3 linked regions of the Drosophila melanogaster genome follow. Changing the gene in region 1 together with any one later gene gives a genetic interaction. Each region holds a gene or a part of one and is shown in the gene's direction. Other genes may lie near its edges. The genes, in order: trbl, Wee1 and slbo.

Evidence for each region.
Region 2: of trbl (region 1) and Wee1, changing one enhances a phenotype caused by changing the other (phenotypic enhancement), as found in Drosophila melanogaster (one study listed by BioGRID).
Region 3: of trbl (region 1) and slbo, changing one suppresses a phenotype caused by changing the other (phenotypic suppression), as found in Drosophila melanogaster (2 studies listed by BioGRID).

Annotation. Positions count from the first base shown.
Region 1 is NT_037436.4:20,395,747-20,403,575, reverse strand, and holds trbl (tribbles), read left to right. Parts: upstream 1-1,966; 5' UTR 1,967-2,320; coding exon 2,321-3,150; intron 3,151-6,100; coding exon 6,101-6,725; 3' UTR 6,726-7,288; downstream 7,289-7,829. UniProt on the Drosophila melanogaster protein: Adapter protein that negatively regulates different signaling pathways to coordinate cell differentiation, proliferation, migration and growth.
Region 2 is NT_033779.5:6,910,555-6,915,923, reverse strand, and holds Wee1 (Wee1 kinase), read left to right. Parts: upstream 1-1,785; 5' UTR 1,786-1,996; coding exon 1,997-2,498; intron 2,499-2,642; coding exon 2,643-2,979; intron 2,980-3,035; coding exon 3,036-3,740; intron 3,741-3,841; coding exon 3,842-3,975; intron 3,976-4,071; coding exon 4,072-4,223; 3' UTR 4,224-4,834; downstream 4,835-5,369. Other genes in the region: CG32829 (uncharacterized protein), read left to right, coding at 1-241; x16 splicing factor, read left to right, coding at 524-881; Rat1 5'-3' exoribonuclease, read right to left, coding at 5,032-5,369. UniProt on the Drosophila melanogaster protein: Acts as a negative regulator of entry into mitosis (G2 to M transition). This kinase specifically phosphorylates and inactivates cyclin B1-complexed CDC2.
Region 3 is NT_033778.4:24,330,959-24,336,272, reverse strand, and holds slbo (slow border cells), read left to right. Parts: upstream 1-1,965; 5' UTR 1,966-2,502; coding exon 2,503-3,852; 3' UTR 3,853-4,751; downstream 4,752-5,314. UniProt on the Drosophila melanogaster protein: Required for the expression of gene products mediating border cell migration. Among the DNA sequences that this protein binds with high affinity is a conserved site within the promoter of its gene.

The DNA of each region.
Region 1 (7,829 bases):
CCTATTTAATCGTATAAGTGAGTGCAGTGACCAGAGTGAAACATTAATTGCTTGCAAATAAGTATGTCGTATGCAAATAAAATATTTTTCAAATTCAATTTGATGTCGCCACCCCTATAATTTCCCCCCTTTTCGGTTGCATTGGTGTCACGGTACCAGTATAATTCTCGTTTCAATCTTCCTTTCGAGAAACAGATGCAAGACTTTGGAAAAGGGACGGGCGAAAAGAGAGGTTTGTTGGTGTTATTTGTTCTGTTCGCGATTTTCGCATTCGTATTTATCGGCTACTTCGTGGGAAGAAGAAGCAAAGACGGACGTTGCGTTTCAAAAAGAGCGTTACAATATGAAGAATTCAATCGAAGAGATCGGTGAAAACCAATGGACGAAATACAAGCCTGCATAAACAGTTGCGGTGAAAATATTAGTATTCAAAATCCCAGTATCCCAGAATGAAAAAATTCAAAACTAAATGAGTTATATCTAACCTACAATTGTACCAATTCTATCAACGATTTTAAAAATACATTTTTCAGGTCTTTTAGTCCAACAATTCGGTCTTAAAAATTATATTTAAAGACCCTCATTTCCAATTACTAAAGATTCGATTGCGATAGTTCCTATTATTGTGACCGCGAATGTGCTCCTGTGTATCCTCAGACGGATGTCTTTAGTGGGAAATCACCTTGCGCCAGCTGCAACTGCAACTGCATCGCATGTACAGCCCTGCACCGATGCACTATATCTGCCATATAGTGCTTAGGGGTGGAATAGTGCAGCTGACATATGTATGTAGGAATCTACCTGCGACATAATGCCGCTCGGTGGTTCTTACCTGCTCCTTGAGGATCTCGGATAACTGCCTTCTGTTGCTGTCGTAATTCCTGCGTAGCCCAGTGATCCTCGTTTCGGACAGCTGCAAAAATCATGAAATCGTCTGCACCGCGAGGTAAACAGCAAGGTAAATCCACATACACACACACAAATGAGTAATGATCTCGCACAGGAAAAAATTCAATGATCGATTTGGATCCAAGAGATTGAAGCGTTATTTGAAGATTCGAGTTTGGGAGCATTTATTTAAATTCTAGGATTTACTAGAACTATGTTTGTACATCTGAAATGTCCATCTGTGGTCATATACTTAGGGATATAAGAGATCTTAATCTGGAGTATTAAGAAGACAAATTTCTTAATTTTAAATTTGTATGTATATTAGGATATTAAAATGTTTTATGTTTTATGTTTTTTTATAATAATAGTAGTTTGCAAAGCAACTACTCAAAAACTGCACATCATCATTGAATTTGGTTTAAAAATTTCGTAACTATGGGAAAACAAATAATTTCAACCAAACTTGTAAAATATTACCTTATCAGAGCAGGAGAAAACCTTAAGTATCCAAGCCAAGAAACCACAAAAGATATTTTCGAGTTATAGAGATGGTTATACGGGTGTTTCTGCCTTCGATATCCGTACCCGTACTCAATAAAACAAAATCGAAGTTCAAGCTGACTGTACTTTCATTAATTTGATCTTAAAACTGTGGATTTTATCAGTTTACTAACCCCCTCTAATTAACTTATCGCCACGATTTATTGGTGCGCAGATTACTACGTAAAATCGTAGAAGAAAAGTTTAAGGGTTGCTGTGGGTATAGTGTTCATACAGCTACGTATTTCGAATTCAGTTGGAATCGGAATTTCAGCGTTCAGCGCAATTTTTTCAAAAATAACGATGCTCTTGTTCTTTCTCTCTCTCCCAACCATTTGGATTTCAAAAAATAACGACGCTCTCTGGTCTCCCACTTCTCTTTCCATTCCGACCGCATTGAGCTAAATTCCTGCAACGGGTGTGAGCGAGGCAGAGAAGGATCGGTGCAGTGAGAGCGAGCAAGAGGGTGCGAAAGAGAGCCGTTGTATTTCGCCGTTCTCTTCGCTTCGTGCTTCTTCCGACCGCGTGGATGGTCACATTTGAAATTCAAACTGCGGAGAAGACGGTCGCGTTCGTTTCGTTTCGCGAGTTCAGTGAGCAGCGTCCGATTTGTTTTAAAATCGCCGCATTTCGTCAGTACCCGCATTGCAAATGGCCAAACTACCGAAGTAGTAGTAGCCCTGAGTTTAAACGAGAGTTTAAATCGAATTTAATCGGAGACTAAACGGCGCGTCGCTAAATGTCAAAACAATTAACAGCCAAGTACAGCCAGGCTAAAGCGGAGTAACAAAATTAGTAAGAAGAAGCATTAGCAGAGAATAAGACGAAGAAAACGTAGCGAGAGCAAGAACTGTGATAAAGTTAAGTGAAGTGGTAAACACAAGCAAGCATGGATAACAGTAGCGGTCAAAACAGCAGAACGGCTTCGTCAGCGTCCACAAGCAAAATAGTCAACTATTCGTCACCAGTCTCGCCAGGAGTCGCAGCCGCCACCTCCTCATCCTCATCATCCAGCAGCAGCGGCATGAGTAGCAGCCAGGAGGACACCGTACTGGGATTATTTACGCCCAAAAAGGAGTTCCCCAATGCCAAGATGCTGCAGACCATCAGGGAGAAGCTAATGACGCCCGGCGGAGCCTGTGACCTTCTGGCCCTGGGCATCGCAGCGGAACCCACAGACCAGCAGCCCGTCAAGCTCATCCAACAGCGTTATCTGATCAGCGCACAGCCTAGTCACATATCGGCCGCCGTGGCTGCCAAGACTCCCGCCTCGTATCGCCACTTGGTCGATCTAACCGCCTCCAATCTGCGCTGCGTGGACATCTTCACCGGGGAGCAGTTCCTCTGCCGTATTGTAAACGAACCGTTGCATAAGGTGCAACGAGCCTACTTTCAGCTGCAGCAGCACGACGAGGAGCTACGCCGGAGCACCATCTATGGCCATCCACTGATCCGACCCGTGCACGATATCATACCGCTTACCAAGGATCGCACCTACATCCTCATTGCGCCCGTGCCCCAGGAGAGGGACTCCACGGGTGGGGTGACCGGGGTGTACGAGAACCTGCACACCTACATCCGCCACGCGAAGCGACTGTGCGAGACGGAGGCGAGGGCCATATTCCACCAGATCTGTCAGACTGTTCAGGTGTGCCACCGCAACGGGATTATCCTCAGGGACCTCAAGCTCAAGCGGTTCTACTTCATCGACGAGGCCAGGTGAGTTGCGTGTCCAGGTGACACCTTCGAAAAACCCATATACACCAATATACGCCACATATGCCTGACTTATACCAACTCAATTGCATATGGCTGGCTAGTCGGTTTATTTTGCAATTCGATGGAAACTCGTTATGAGCGAGAGATCTTGTTTGTGGTCGTGTGTTGGTGGTGCCACAATTGTTGCTCTTGTTATTGGCCCATGTTGTTGTAGTTGCTGCTGCTGCTGCTGTTGTTGCTTTTGTTTTTGTTGCTGGCGCCGTCGTTGTGGGTAACATTGAACATTTAACAAGTGTTGCAATCGAATCACCAATAGGCCAACAACAACAATTATACTGACAAACCGAATGAACGCAAGGCGTACGTATGTACAGCACAGGGTATAATGGTAGTTTCAAACTAATTTTATAAGTAAAAATATATTCCTACTATGCGAAGCATTGCAAAAATGAATGGGAATAAGATCAAAAATGTTAAATAATTTCAAAGATAAGTTTTTGAAATACACCTATTATTAAACTATTAATTAACATGGTGTATTAGCTTTGTAGCTAAAGAATTATTATTTATGTAATATCATTGAATTGCCATTCAGTGAGCAAGCATATGCCTTATTTTGCAGACCCCGACTGTATCTCTGTGTACATACTCGTACACAAGGGCCCAATGTGCCACACTGATGGCCAAAATGTTGGCTCACTCGTTTTTTCATTACACATTTCGGAAGCTAGAAATTGCCACATTTCAAGAATTGTTCAACATAGCATTTGCAATATGGTTTTGGGGTGGGGATCTGTGGGCCACGTACTCGGCGTTCGCTTGATTTGTCGATTTCCCGTGTGTGAGTTTACAGTGGATGATGAAATATTGACCCCACCTTCATCGAAAATGTATTTTCGCATATGTTAATTAACACAACTGTATCGAAAACGCGCTGTCTCCCGTTCTTATTATCTTCGAAATTGTACTGACATCAGCATGGAACGACTTGAACATTTGGTCGATTTCGTATGACTCTGCAATTAGCGCAATATCTGCTGATTTTTTCGTCATTTCGTCGTTCTGTGCCAAGTGCAAAACGGCGGAAGGAAGAAACCAACCCATAGATCTCTATCTATACTATACTTCTCTCACCTTGGCGAGAAATAAACAACAAGTGTTCAATACGACTCAAATGCGCTGCGATTACTGGCGCTCACTTCCATTCCCATTTCCATTCGAATAATACATCGCTATATAGATAAGTGCTCGCTGGGTGTACATACATACTATATGGGCTATGGGCGTGGCCATATCCATATCTACATATGTCCAACGGGGCGGCCACACACACGCACAACCAAATAACGAGCCGAATTTTTAAGGTCACAGTGCGGTGAATGTCCCTGACTCTGATCTTCTGTATTTGAACGCATTTATGTACATGCATATATGCCAGTGCCTCCCATATACAAATGCGTATGCTTATGCATGTAAAAATCTCTGGTTCATACTTTTATTTTGTCTACTCTTTTGCCGTACGTAAATACTTCCAAGGTGTTTGAGCATTTATGCGGCGCCGGTTTTCCGTATTTCGTTTCGATTCCGATTTTATTTTAACCTCTGTCGCGGGTTAATGTGTGCCAAACGTATAGAGCGAGAGAGAGAGAGAGAGGGAAAGAAGAGATCCACAAGACGCTCTTCAAAGCTCGGTTATGTCGCGCATCGAGGTCAGCAGCTGTAACTATTCTCCTCATCACATCTCCACCTGCCTTCCGTGCACTCAAAAATATAAATATTGGTTCACATAAAACCTTGATCTTAAAAGTATAATTATATATGCTTGCCTTGATCTTAAATATAAGTTTATAATGTTTCTGTATCGAATGGGGTAACTAGACGATAGAGGACACAAAAATCAAATGAAACCCGAAAACAAATGTATAGAAACATGCTCTTAATTAAGAACCGTGTTCTTTGAATATATTATTTAAATGCGCTATCTCTTTTCCCTCTTATTGATTGCCCACCTGTTGCTATCAAGTTGAAGGTAATTTGTTTCTTTCAGTGTACACTGTGATTTGTGCCGAGGAGAGGCGCGTTTTCAAAGCTTGTTTTTGTTCAGGGTCAGCTCGAGGTTTTTTTGGCCTGCTTTGTGTTTGGCTCTTTGGATGTTTGGATACCAGACCGCGGCGACCGTGTGTTTGTATATCGCTCCGTTCGCTATCGGCGGAATACCCAATGTTGGTAGTGGTGCTCGGGTCCCAGCAGAAGCGCCGTTGCAGCAACAAGTTGCGATACGTCACTCCACCTCACCTTACTACTCACGCAGCTCACACAGCGGACTCTCTTTGGATCTATGCGCTGTGCTCGCTGGCGTTTTCGTTACTTTTTTGCTTTTTGCATTCGAATGTGGGCCAATGTCAATGGAGTGGAGTGGCCCAATGGAGGGGGAGTGGAGTGGAGTGCAGGGGCGGAGGCGGCGGCGGCGGCGGCACTCGCTCATGGGTGTCGGGGGTCGCAAGCTGCGCTTTCGTCACCAATCCAAGTCAACTCAGCTCAGCTCACAATGTGCTCTCTCGGCCAATTTGCCTTTTGACTTGTCAATACGCCAACGCCAAAGACAACTACAACTGAAACTGAAGCTCCGTGGCCGATCGATTCAAGTCTCTTCGATATTGCGCTAGCTAATGGCCCCACAAAATCGGGGGTTATGCAAGTCCCAGGGATTGCACATGATGTAGAGCTCGACGATGGGTCTGATGAACGGGTACAGTTGCGATCAGAATAGTGGCAGTGCCAACTCAAGTTGCAGTCATATCTACTCTTCTTTGGCAACAATAGTTCTCAACATATTAATAGAAACGGGTAAAAAAAAGACTGTTAGTTTTATTTCTAAGAAGCATAAACATATATTTTGTACCCTATTTTGGCGGATTATTTATTCGATTTTGTCATTTGCTAATTACAGAACGAAACTGCAGTATGAATCACTGGAAGGCTCAATGATCCTCGACGGCGAGGACGATACTCTGAGCGACAAGATCGGTTGCCCACTGTACACCGCTCCAGAACTGCTGTGCCCCCAGCAAACGTACAAGGGCAAACCGGCGGACATGTGGTCGCTGGGCGTGATCCTGTACACCATGTTGGTGGGTCAGTACCCGTTCTACGAGAAGGCCAACTGCAACCTCATCACCGTCATACGCCACGGGAATGTCCAGATACCCCTGACGCTGTCTAAGTCGGTGCGATGGCTGTTGCTTTCGCTGCTGCGGAAGGATTACACGGAACGAATGACCGCCAGCCACATCTTCCTTACCCCGTGGCTGCGAGAGCAGCGCCCCTTCCACATGTACCTGCCAGTCGACGTGGAGGTGGCCGAGGACTGGAGCGATGCGGAGGAGGACGAAGGCACTGCCGCCGATGCGATGGATGATGACGAGGAAGGACTCTGTCCCTTGGGTGACAAGCACGAGTACGAGGACATTGGCGTGGAGCCATTGGACTACACGCGCTCCACGCTCCAAATGGCTCAGAATGCCAATGGGCTGTCCACGGAACCCGAACCCGATACGGATGTGGACATGGGCTGATTGGAGCTCGTGGAGTCACCCACGGGTTGCATTCTGGGACACGCTGGCGCGTTGGCTGCATCCGGCTGAATGCCGACTGATTAGCCGCCGGGACTGGGCATATCGGATGATATGACACTGTGGACATCCTGGCCTTCCGGGTCGCGCCGACTCCGACTGCGTTCCACGTCGTCTTCCTGCAGGTGGTACTGCCAACAAAGACTTAAAGCTTAGACACACAAGAACTCACTGCCTTCCAATCGCGCTGCAGCCCCGATTCGATTCGTTCAAGAATCACGCCGCTCCGCAGCCTCCTCTCTGCAACCGATTCTTCCTAAAACCTACCTATGTACAATACATTTAACATTTTAATTTTTTTGCAAACTGTTGATCTTATCAAAGGACAGTCGCCCTGATTTGCTTTTGGGCTTTAAAACACATTAGTTTCCATGTTAAAAAATGCAACGAATGCAAATTGTTATTTATTATTTAATACTTCTGTATTACGCTTTGTGTACTCTTAAAATCTTGTAAGTGAAAATTGCAAAAAAGAACATAATACATTGAAATTTGATCTCACCAAGAATAATTCGAATTTGTTTCTTTAGGGCTCTGGGGTAAAAAACGCTGTTTTTATTTATTGACACAAGATTGTAAATATTTATAAATGTGTAATTAGTCAACCAGACTATGAGCTTAACATGAAGATTCTAGATTCTCAAGAAGCGGAAGGCTACAAAAGATGAAAACAATGAGTCAGGGGAAAATACGATTTTTTGGTTCTAGATGCGTCATATTGTGTACTAGTAAAATTCAACATTTGATTAAGATCAGATAATGTTTGGTCAAAAATATGAAAACAAAACTGTCCAATCTATTTTCTTCATGAAGGAGATTAATGAATAGTTCACGTCACAAAATCGAGAATTCTCTCGAGTGTCGAAAGTCAACAAATTAGTTATTGTTGTTGCTGAGATTCCCATTACCGAGCAGCAGATTCCCAACCTGATAATGCAACCCAGTGACTGGAAGTTATCAGGTGGGCGAACGTGACTTTGGCTACGGAAATATTTGCGACTTTGCTCCACAATAGCAGTAAACTAATATTGTGAATAGCTGCTGAAT
Region 2 (5,369 bases), on another chromosome or scaffold:
CCATCATCATGCCGAGGAGCACGGCGAGCACAAGAAGGGCGAAAAGCACGAGGGCGGCAAAAAGAAGGGTCACAAGAAGCACCACGGACACTACAAGAAGGGTCACCACGACGAGGACCACAAGAAGTACAAGAAGGAGCACAAGTACGGCGACAGCTTCGAGGAGAAGAAGGAGCACGGCGAGAAGGGCTCCAAGAAGCACGGCCACAAGCACTACAAAAAGAAGGGCGGCAAGCATTGAGCAAGCTATATTATACATGTGATCTTTATGTGAAATGCAGAATTAAAACTGGGAGAGGTTCTAGAATATTATACTGTCTTGTGTTTTATTCAATAAGCTGTTAAAACTTAATCTGCTAAAAGCTAGTTTTGATACTTACAATGTTTCAAATAATATAGCACACTATAATATATTTAAATGTATTAGTATATTAGTATATACATATATAAGGTAGCTTAAATTGTTACGTTTTTTGAAAAGCCTGATAGCTAATCACGACGATTTATCCCATTTCATTTCCAGAAGCAACTCATTCAGCAGATCTCGGAGCACATCGCGACGCAGGCGCACTCGCTCCAAGTCCGGAACTCGATCCCGCAGTCGCTCCGCCGGCTCGGTGGGCCGTCGCTCCGGCCGCTCGAACGGACGGGACGAGAACGGATCGGCGTCGAGGTACAGCGACCACGAGCGCAACGGCAGTGGAGCGGTAGATTCACCGCCGCCGCCAAAACGGCGCTATGAGGATGAGGACGATGACCGGGTTAGGGGATCGCCGCGGTCGCGTTCCCGATCTCGATCGGCGTCGCCAGCGGTGCGCCGTGGATCGCCGCCCAGGCGTCGTGGTGACTCGTCCGCCTCACGATCCGTTTCAAGGGACTAGCGACAGCGAACGGATGCAGACGGAGCCCGACATGCGATGATGAGGGCCGGAGCTGCAACCCCCCGATGAATCCGGCGAGATGGGCTCTCCACGCACTGGACTCTAATCCTCATTCCCAAAAGAAACAACCTCACGTGTAACAAGACAGATTCCCAAATACTTTTTCATGCAGTATCCATCTAAGGTTTTTAGTTGTCCAAAACCATATTAGTTAAGGGTTTTAATTTATAGTGGAACTCGAGTTTGCATATTTAGGTATTCTAATGTTCCAACACAACAACAAATACAAGCACACGCAGAACAAAGGAGAGCGCTTCGGAAAATCATTTGACGGAAGGAAATTTAAGATATAGAAATGTATCGGCAGCCGCAGATTAACGATCTAGTCAGGATTGCTATGTAAATTGATTTGCCTTGGATTTTATTTTGCTTACCCTGGAATTATACTCGAATGTGCAGAGGACGAAGCATCGCCACCATTTTCATGTCAATTTTACACAATTTTCAATTTATGCAACACAACAACTTGATTATTTGACTCCAATCTCTGTATGATGTGTTTCTATATTCGTAATAATTAAGTATTGCAACAGTGCATAATAATTATTCATACATTGATGTCATAGTTAAGTATTAAAAAAATACATATGTATGGATTCTTGAGATGTGTGTTTGAATTATGTAGCAAATGCGCTGAACACTAAAATACAGATATTCAATCAATAAATTAAATGCCAAAATTAGTTGTTTTCCATTTGAATTTGGCGGGCTTTATGCGGTCTTGAACAAGTCTGGTCACTCAGTTTAGAAGTAGGTGCGCATTATTTAAATTGGTATTTTTGCCAGATGTTTAGTATTTTGTTTGTTTGGTAACTCTGCACTTCCAGTTACTTAGTATTTTTTCAGTCAGAGCTGGTATTTTATTGCGCATCGGGTACGGCCACATTATTAGACTAGCATTCCTCCAGTTAAATTTTGTTTTGTGTTTTGTTTTGCATTTTTTTTAACTATTGCCTTTACTTTACTGCCGCCGGCTTCCATACAAATAGTTCTGAAATCAGAAATAACGAACAGAATCGTCTTTCAACGTGGTCAGCTGGACAGCTACAGCAACAATGGCATTCCGCCAGTCGGAGCACGAGATGAGCGTCACCTCACTCGATTCAAGCGTCGAACTGAGATCGCGTTCGCCATCGCCGCAGGTCTTCAATCCGCGCAAGCTCCGCTTCGCCGATGATGACTTTGACAAGGACACGCCCGAGGGAGCGAGTCCGCAGCATCCCCTTCAGCAGCGGCCGAAGCTATCCTCCGGTGAGGAGCAGCAGCTGGACAGTAAGATAGGCAAAGAAGGCGGCGACGGGGACGTGTCCATGTCGCCGCCATGCCAAAAGGTGCGGGCCCTGCGACTCTTTAGCACACCGGCCACTCCAAAGACCATCCTGCAGAAGTCGACGACGCAGTGCAGCAACCATCTGTCGGCGGCAGCAGCGGCAGTGAATGCCTCCAGGCGCAGCGACGACCTCTTCCGCCTGTCAGAGCGCCCGCGATCTCTGCCACTGCACAACCGCAAACTGCCCACCCAGGACACGGCAAATGTGAACCCCTTCACGCCAGATAGTAAGTTTAAAACGTTTCTCGCTTTTGATATTTTAATTAAATAAAGGTATCAATTTCCAGTTCGTTGCTTTAATTTGCACTCCACTTTAACCCATCCCAGCTTAGTCTTATTAGCAATCTAATAATCATTTTTTTTATTTTTAGGCCTCATGGCTCACAATAAGAAGCGCTGTCGCACGCAATTCGGACGCGAAAACCTCAACCTGAACGTGAATGCTATGCAAAAGTATTTGCTCAGTGATGCCTGCGACGACGATGTGACGGAGGAGGCGGGCGACTCGATGCGCGAAATCCACCAGCAGGCACCCAAGCGGCTGGCCCTGCACGACACGAACATCAGTCGCTTCAAGCGGGAGTTCATGCAAGTCAACGTAATCGGCGTTGGCGAGTTCGGTGTGGTGTTCCAATGCGTCAATCGACTAGATGGCTGCATATATGCGATTAAAAAGAGTAAGAAGCCGGTGGCAGGCAGTTCTTTCGAGTGAGTATTCATTAGTTATTGCAACGAGCGTCGTTTAACAATCTATTTGCTTGCAGAAAGAGAGCCCTGAACGAGGTCTGGGCCCATGCTGTATTGGGCAAGCACGATAACGTGGTTAGATACTATTCCGCGTGGGCGGAGGACGATCATATGCTGATACAGAATGAATTCTGCGATGGTGGCAGCTTGCACGCGCGCATCCAAGATCATTGTTTGGGTGAGGCAGAGCTAAAGATTGTTCTCATGCATGTGATAGAGGGCCTACGCTATATTCATTCAAATGACCTGGTGCACATGGATCTGAAGCCCGAAAACATATTCTCCACCATGAATCCCAATGCACACAAGCTGGTGGAGGTGCAGCCGCAGCAGACCAAAGATGACGATGGCATGGACAGCGTCTATGAAGAACTGCGCCATTCAGAGAATCTGGTTACGTACAAGATCGGCGACCTGGGACACGTGACCTCCGTTAAGGAACCCTACGTCGAGGAGGGAGACTGTCGTTACCTGCCCAAGGAGATCCTTCACGAGGATTATTCGAATCTCTTCAAGGCCGACATATTTTCCCTGGGCATCACGCTGTTCGAGGCGGCCGGCGGTGGTCCGCTGCCTAAAAATGGACCCGAATGGCACAACTTGCGAGATGGCAAGGTGCCGATTCTGCCGAGCCTGAGCAGGGATTTTAACGAGCTCATAGCCCAGATGATGCATCCTTATCCCGACAAGAGGCCCACTTCGCAGTCTATATTCAGTCATCCGTAAGTAAATTGAGTCGACAGTATAAGCGACAATCATATTTAGTTGCATTTAAGATAAATGTGCTCACACTAAATACATATAATGTTCGTTTAATTTGCAGAATTCTGAGTGCTGTTGACTCCAAGAGCAAGCTGCAGCTCGGCCTGGAGCTGACCGTGGAGAAGCGCAAGAACGAGATACTGATGAACAAGCTGAGAGAGGCCAAAAAACAGATTAAACTGCTCGAGCAACGAGGTAAGATAAGATAAATAGTTGTATAACAACTTAAACTTTAAGGTGGTTGGTTATCTGGATGTTTACAATTTCTAACGTTTCTGCAACTCATTTTAGTCAATCTTCTTGCGGTGACTAACAATCCGGACAGTCTGGATGGACAGCGTTGCCTTCGCAGCTTCACGCGACGCATGCGCACGCCATTCTCCAGCCATGGCAAGTTCGACAGCATATCCGATCGCAACAAGAACGTTATCACCAATATCTGATAAGCTCGCAACAGATGCCGAACCGATAGCTAAACTCTTCCGAATCGAACGTGAACTAAGCTCACATTGTGTTACCTTTTAAGCGTATTCATATAATCGATACATATTTCTAACTATTCGCTTTCGTTTAAGCTCATGGATTTTGAAGCATTCGTAAATATAATCTATATATTTTTCAAGCTCAGTGAACTTTTCCCTGTTAAGAAAGCACAATCGTTTTAAGAAAAGCCCCTTGTAAACTTTAAGATTCTCGCATAGTTGTAATGAGTATTGTTTTCGAAATTAAAATATTTATTATGTTACATGGAAATCGAAATAATAACATTCCATTCGTTAAATATAGCGAATGCTATTCCATAAAAACTACTGGATTTATTATGACTCCGGATTTAAAACAAAATGTTTGCGAAGTTTTTCTTAAATTCAATTGTTTACTCCACTAGAAATTGTTTTGATATTATCCAATTTCCTGTCAAATTATGTTCCATTTTCCTTATCTGAAAATAACAATCGTCTCATTTTTTTGTATTATCCAGCTAGTTTGCTTTTTTTACGCAATCAATGGAAAGAGAAATGATCATTATTGTAATTTGACTTATTTTCTTTGAGGCACTAAGACTAGATGTTGGCTGTAAGCTGCTTTGATAGAAATGCAATGGGTATTTCATTTAAAGAACAAACTCAGAACTTGGCATGAGTTTGTTTGGAAATCCTTAATCAGTATATTTTCTTCATTAAAAAATAATGTAAATTAATATGGATTACACTTTTGTTATGCGCTACATATTATATTGTTTGTATGATACACCTAAAACCGTCTATAATTCTGATTCTGTTGCCTGCTGCCGCCTTGTTGCTGGTAGTTGTTGTTCCTTGGACCATTATAGTTGTTAAAGTTGCGCTGCTGCTGATTCGAATTGTCCTGGTTGAATCTCTGATTGTGGCCATATTGCTGCTGCTGTCGGTTATTGTAGTTGTTTTGATAGCCGCCACCCTGGTGCTGATTGTAGTTATTGTTGTAGTTGTAGTTATAGTTTCGGCTATTGTTCTGATAGCTCTGTCCTTGGTTTCCGCCTATTCCCTGGCCGTAGCCGCCTCCTTGCCCGTAGCCTCCTCCTCCACCTCCATTGCCACCGCCACCCTGTT
Region 3 (5,314 bases), on another chromosome or scaffold:
AGGGCTGGTATTTATAGCCAGTCCACCTACTTGCTAATTTGAAGTGTTTTTTTTTTAAATTTATTTTAAAAAATTTATGCTTTCAAGTTTTTATAAATAGGTAACTTTAGGTAAGCCTTGGACGATTCCAGTTAGCAGGAGGATAAGCAAATAAATAAATGACTTTGCTTTGCTTTAATCCCATTTAACCAGTAGTTTCTCCATAAACAATCTGATAAGATAAGGTGCACATGGATCGATCTTGCCTCATTTAAATTGCAGATTTCATCACCTTTCCCATCGATCGATATGGAATCAGTTCTTGGGTAACCAGACCGCACAATGCAATCCCCCAAGAACAATAAGGGTGCGTTGAATGCGTTTTGAAATACACCCGACCAGAAGAATATCTTTGTGGACGCACAAGGAAGCACTTTTGCACAATCTCGATGCAGTCATCGATATCGGCGATATTTCCGATTCGCTGCAATAGCTTGACTGATAAGCGAAGAAAAGTGGCTGTCCTGTCATCGACAGCGGAATACCCTCTTATCGTGCAACGGCGCACGGGGCGTATGATTAATAAAGTCCGGGTAAACAAAAGGTACATACACGAAGGCAGAAGACGGGGGCGAGAGGCGGGGCCGAAAGCAGGGGACGCACCTTCGGAAAGTAAACGACAACTTGACCCAAATTGCAGACTCGAAAACTCAGGAGAGTCAGCAGAGTGAGCAGAGTTAGCGGAGTGAGCACCAAGCAGAAGAGCGCCAATGGGGGAAAAGTGGAGAAGGCGACTTCACAAATCGCTGCATTTAAATAAACAAAACTACGAGCCGTGCTAATTTTTATGAATTTCATAACACAGTCTTAATTTTAATAAGACGTCGCTGCCTATTACGTGAAAGCTCCGCGATGCGTTGCGCTTCCACTGCGCAGTCACGCATGCGCGCCAAAAACAGGCCCCAATCCCCAAGCCCCCAATCCCCCGATCCACCAAGTAACTGCACTTCTGTGTTTTTTTTTGCTTTTCTGTATTTCTAAGGCGCAAAGCGAGTCGAAGCCCAAACACAAATCGGAGTGGGCAAGGCCCCAAAATGGGGGTCGGGGGTTACGCAGCGGAGTGCCGGTGTGTGCGGGCGTGGTGTTGTTGCTTCTCGCTGCGGCTGTGCGGCTCTTCTCCCAAAAAAAGCAAAAGCGACGGAACCGAAAATGAAAATGAAAACGAAAGCGAGAGCCAAGGAATAATGAGCGCTGGCTGCGCTGCCGACGTCGCGCGCTGCTGGTGTCTGTGCTCGCTTGAGCTTGTGTGGGTGCCTTGGGGCTCCCTTTTGTGTGACGTCACGCGATCGTGCGTTGCATTGAGTTTTATCATGAAATTCACTGCATCAGCGCATAACTAATACTGGATTCTAGGATGGGGTCTTAATTAAACAATTAATATCTAAACTAATATCTAAACTAACTTATGTGGAACATGTATAAATGTAATAAATTCTATATAAAAAATGTAATTATCCTATCAAATATGATATTAAGTTCCGGAAACTGAAGAAGTATCTCCCAGCTTCGTACCAAATGCACTTTGCTTGCATTCGTGCTTTTGGCCCGCACAGCAACCACAAGAATGGCCCAGTGAATTGCCTTGCGACGAGAGTAAAAGTGATTGGGAAAACTCTTGCTTTTTTACCTGATCGCGGCTCTCGCTCTCATCCACAGGTAGTTGCCTTTGCCTTTGCCTGGCTTACTTGTGCTTTGCCTGCTCTTGCTTTGCTTTTGCTCTGCTCGTGCTGTGCTGTGCTGCTGCCGCCTTTGCTTTGCTGTAACGGCGACGGCGACGGCAACGCTTGGGGCTTCGGTGTGGAGCGGTACGAGTGAATGTGTGTGTGTGTGTGTGTTACATGCGCTGGCCGCTCATTTTCTTTTTCTTCGGCTGCGTCGCTGCGCCAAAGACTTTTTCACTTTGCCGCGTTCGCGTTCGCGTTTTGTCACAGTTACAATTTACCACTCGTCGGCGACGGACGCGCGCTCTCCGCTGGCCAAGAAAATCCAAATCGAAGAAAAGCTCGCTCAGCTAACGGTTCTTCAGGAGCGTTTCTAACACCAGCACACGTACGTGTACGAGTACGAGAGTACTAGCCAACGGCAGTCGTCAGGCCGTCTCGTATAAAATCTGTTGCATCACTGCCGCGGCACTTCAGTCGTTCGAACGCGTGCGGCCGGAGAAGTGCAGTGTCGAGTTAACAAAGTAAACAAACTGAATAAAACATTTTGCGCTAAGAATCGGAAACATAATAAGCAATAGTACGATGCTCGGCTGCAGTGACCACCCAGGCAGCCTAAGATGAAGCATACGGAATAGCGAGCTATCCGAGTCGAACATTTCCAAAGACCCACTTCTTACCTCAGTGCAATGCTTTAGGCGCCAAACGAGCAAAAGTTTATTCCCAAATCTGAACTCTAAAAACAGCCAAAATTAACGCTCTACAAGGAATCAAGATTCTACCCTCCTTCGCGCAACTGAAAATGCTGAACATGGAGTCGCCGCAGATGTACGCCGATGCCGTTCAGACATTGGCCCAGCTGGACCTCAAGAAGGAGCCTCCCCTGCAGCAGGCCACCATTGGCCAGATCACACTGACGGCCATGTCCACGGCGCAGCAGCAGCAGCAACAACAGCAGCAGCAACAGCAGCAGCAACAGCAGCAGCAACAACAGCAGCAGCAGCAACCCCAGCAGCAGACTACCGATGCGAACAACAACACGTCGCAGGACGCGGCACTCCTGGTCAAGCAGCACGCCATGCACCAGATGCAACAGGTCGCCGCATTGGGCAGCAACAACAACCTGCTGCAGAAGCAGATGCTGCAGCAGTACTCCACTCAGACGGACCTGGACGAGCTGACCACCCAGGAGATCACGCTCGACCTGCAGCACCTGATAGACGACCAGTTCAGGGACACGGAAACGCTGGGCATCTTCAGCGACATGGTGACCAGTCCGGGCGGACTCTCGGCCACCCTGCCGCCGAGCGGAATGGTCTCGGCGGCGGCGAAGGTCCTGCAGCAGCAGACCCTGCGGAACCAGCACGGCTACGGGGGCAGGGGAGGCGGTGGCGGAGCAGGAGGCGCCCTGGCCTACATGCCGCAGCCCGTGCACGCCACCTACAACAATTCCAGCGACGAGAACAGCTCCGTGGGCTCCGACTCCAGCACGATCAAGGAGGAGCCCATCGACCCCGAGTACAGGCGGCACCTGCAGGAGGCGGCTAGCCAGCAGGCCGCCTTCATGGGCAATGGAGCAGGCCTGTACAACGGCTACGGATCGGGGGCGAATGGCTTGACCGGGGGCGGAAACCCACTCAACGGAGGCAACACCACGCCCAGCAGCAACGGGAGCAACGGCAGCACGGGCAGCAGCAACGGCAGCCAGTTCACCAACCTGACGACGGCCAACGTCCTGGCGCACCACAACCTGCCCCACCTGGCGGCCGCAGCAGGAGCACACAATCTGCTCAAGCAGCACAGCAAGCTGCACGCGCAGCAGCAGCATCAGCAGCACCAGCAACAGCAGCAGCACCGCAAGCACAGCAACAAGCATGTGGACAAGGGCACGGATGAGTACCGCAGGCGGCGGGAGCGGAACAACATAGCGGTGCGCAAGAGCCGGGAGAAGGCTAAGGTGCGCTCCCGCGAGGTGGAGGAGCGCGTGAAGAGCCTGCTCAAGGAGAAGGACGCCCTCATTCGGCAGCTTGGTGAGATGACCAACGAGCTGCAGCTACACAAGCAGATCTACATGCAGCTAATGAACCACGCCAATCCCGAAGTGAGCCGCGTCTGCCGCAGCTTCCTCAACACCAACGAACACTCGCTGTAGCCGCTGCCAGCTAAAGCCAGTGTCCTGCGAGTTCTGTGTGTGCGTGAGTGCTTGAATGCTTGAGTGCTCGTGTGTGTGTGTGTATGAGTGTGTGAGTGCTCCAGCCGTAAGTGTGTGCGTGTGAGCGAGACTCTGCTAAATCAAAGATACAAATGCTGTGTGGGTAGCTCGTAAGGTTCATTCTCCTCCTGCTCCTCATTGTCCTCTCTGGCCGTAGACGATGGAGCGGTCGCGCCAAGTTGGTGGGCCGCTGCATCGCTTGGAGACCAAACTCTTCTGCCGATCGCTGTGGCATTCCTTGTACATTTACTCTGTCCCCATTTCTTGTTATCACTGTAAAGCATATTTTTGTACTTAATTCTAATTCTTAACGACTGTAACATATATATTTCGCACGTTTTTATACATAATCTTATACATTATATCTATCATAAAGTTAAGCCAAAGAAAAATGTTAAAAATATTAATGTAAAAAAGAATAACACGCAGGAACGAAGAACGAAAATACAAACTTCAAAACCTATTAACTATTTATACATCTAATTCAAATGTGTACAGTTCTCGACGGTGTGCGGCTTCGCTCTATGCTTGATGCCACGCCCACTCCCACGCCCAGCCCTGCTTGACACACAACATTAGCAAATCTCTAGTTCGTAAGTCGGAGAATCAAGCATCGCTTTACCTGCACAATCCCCAGAGGAAAGCCTCCCGAAATCAACCAACTTGTAGCGAATTCCACGGGTTCGCTTCCGAGAGCGTAGAAGATATGAATGCTATTAATTGTAAGGCAAACGCAATGTTCTCATTTTAATTTATATATTCGTAAATTAAATATACACAAACAAAGAAAACTGTAAAGCAAATCTAAACAAATTAAATAAAATTTACCTTATACAAAGAATCGGCTTGTCGTGCGTTTTGACTAAAACCCAAATGAATTTCAGATAACTTCTTAATTTCCACAGTTCAACTACCAATCTGCAATTAGCCCTAGCCACAATTTGATGCAAAAGCCCTGCCAAAAAGTGTCTAATTAAATGTCGGCCATACTTGGGCGACAAAACGATACGCTGGGCGAAGACCAGAAAGAGACGCACCACCACCGCATTGGGAGGGCAGGGTCTTTCTTCTGTCCGCCGTCTTCTGTCTTCGCTGTCTTCGCTGTCTTCCGATGGGACAAATACGACAAGGCAATGCATTTCGGGCTGCCAGGCGCGACACTGGGCCAATTGCAGGGAGGAAGGAGGGCGAAGTGGAGGACCCCAGACAATCGCAAGGCGGCCGTGTTGACACAATTTGACAGTAAGACAAACCCGAAACGAAAAGCAAATTTATAAACGACAAAGCGAAAAAGAATTAATGCAACTCGAGAAACCGACAAATTAACGCGCCAGAGAAAGCCCAAACAAAAGCCACAGAGCCACGGAGCCAGAGAGCCAAAAAACGCATGCCGACCTGGGGC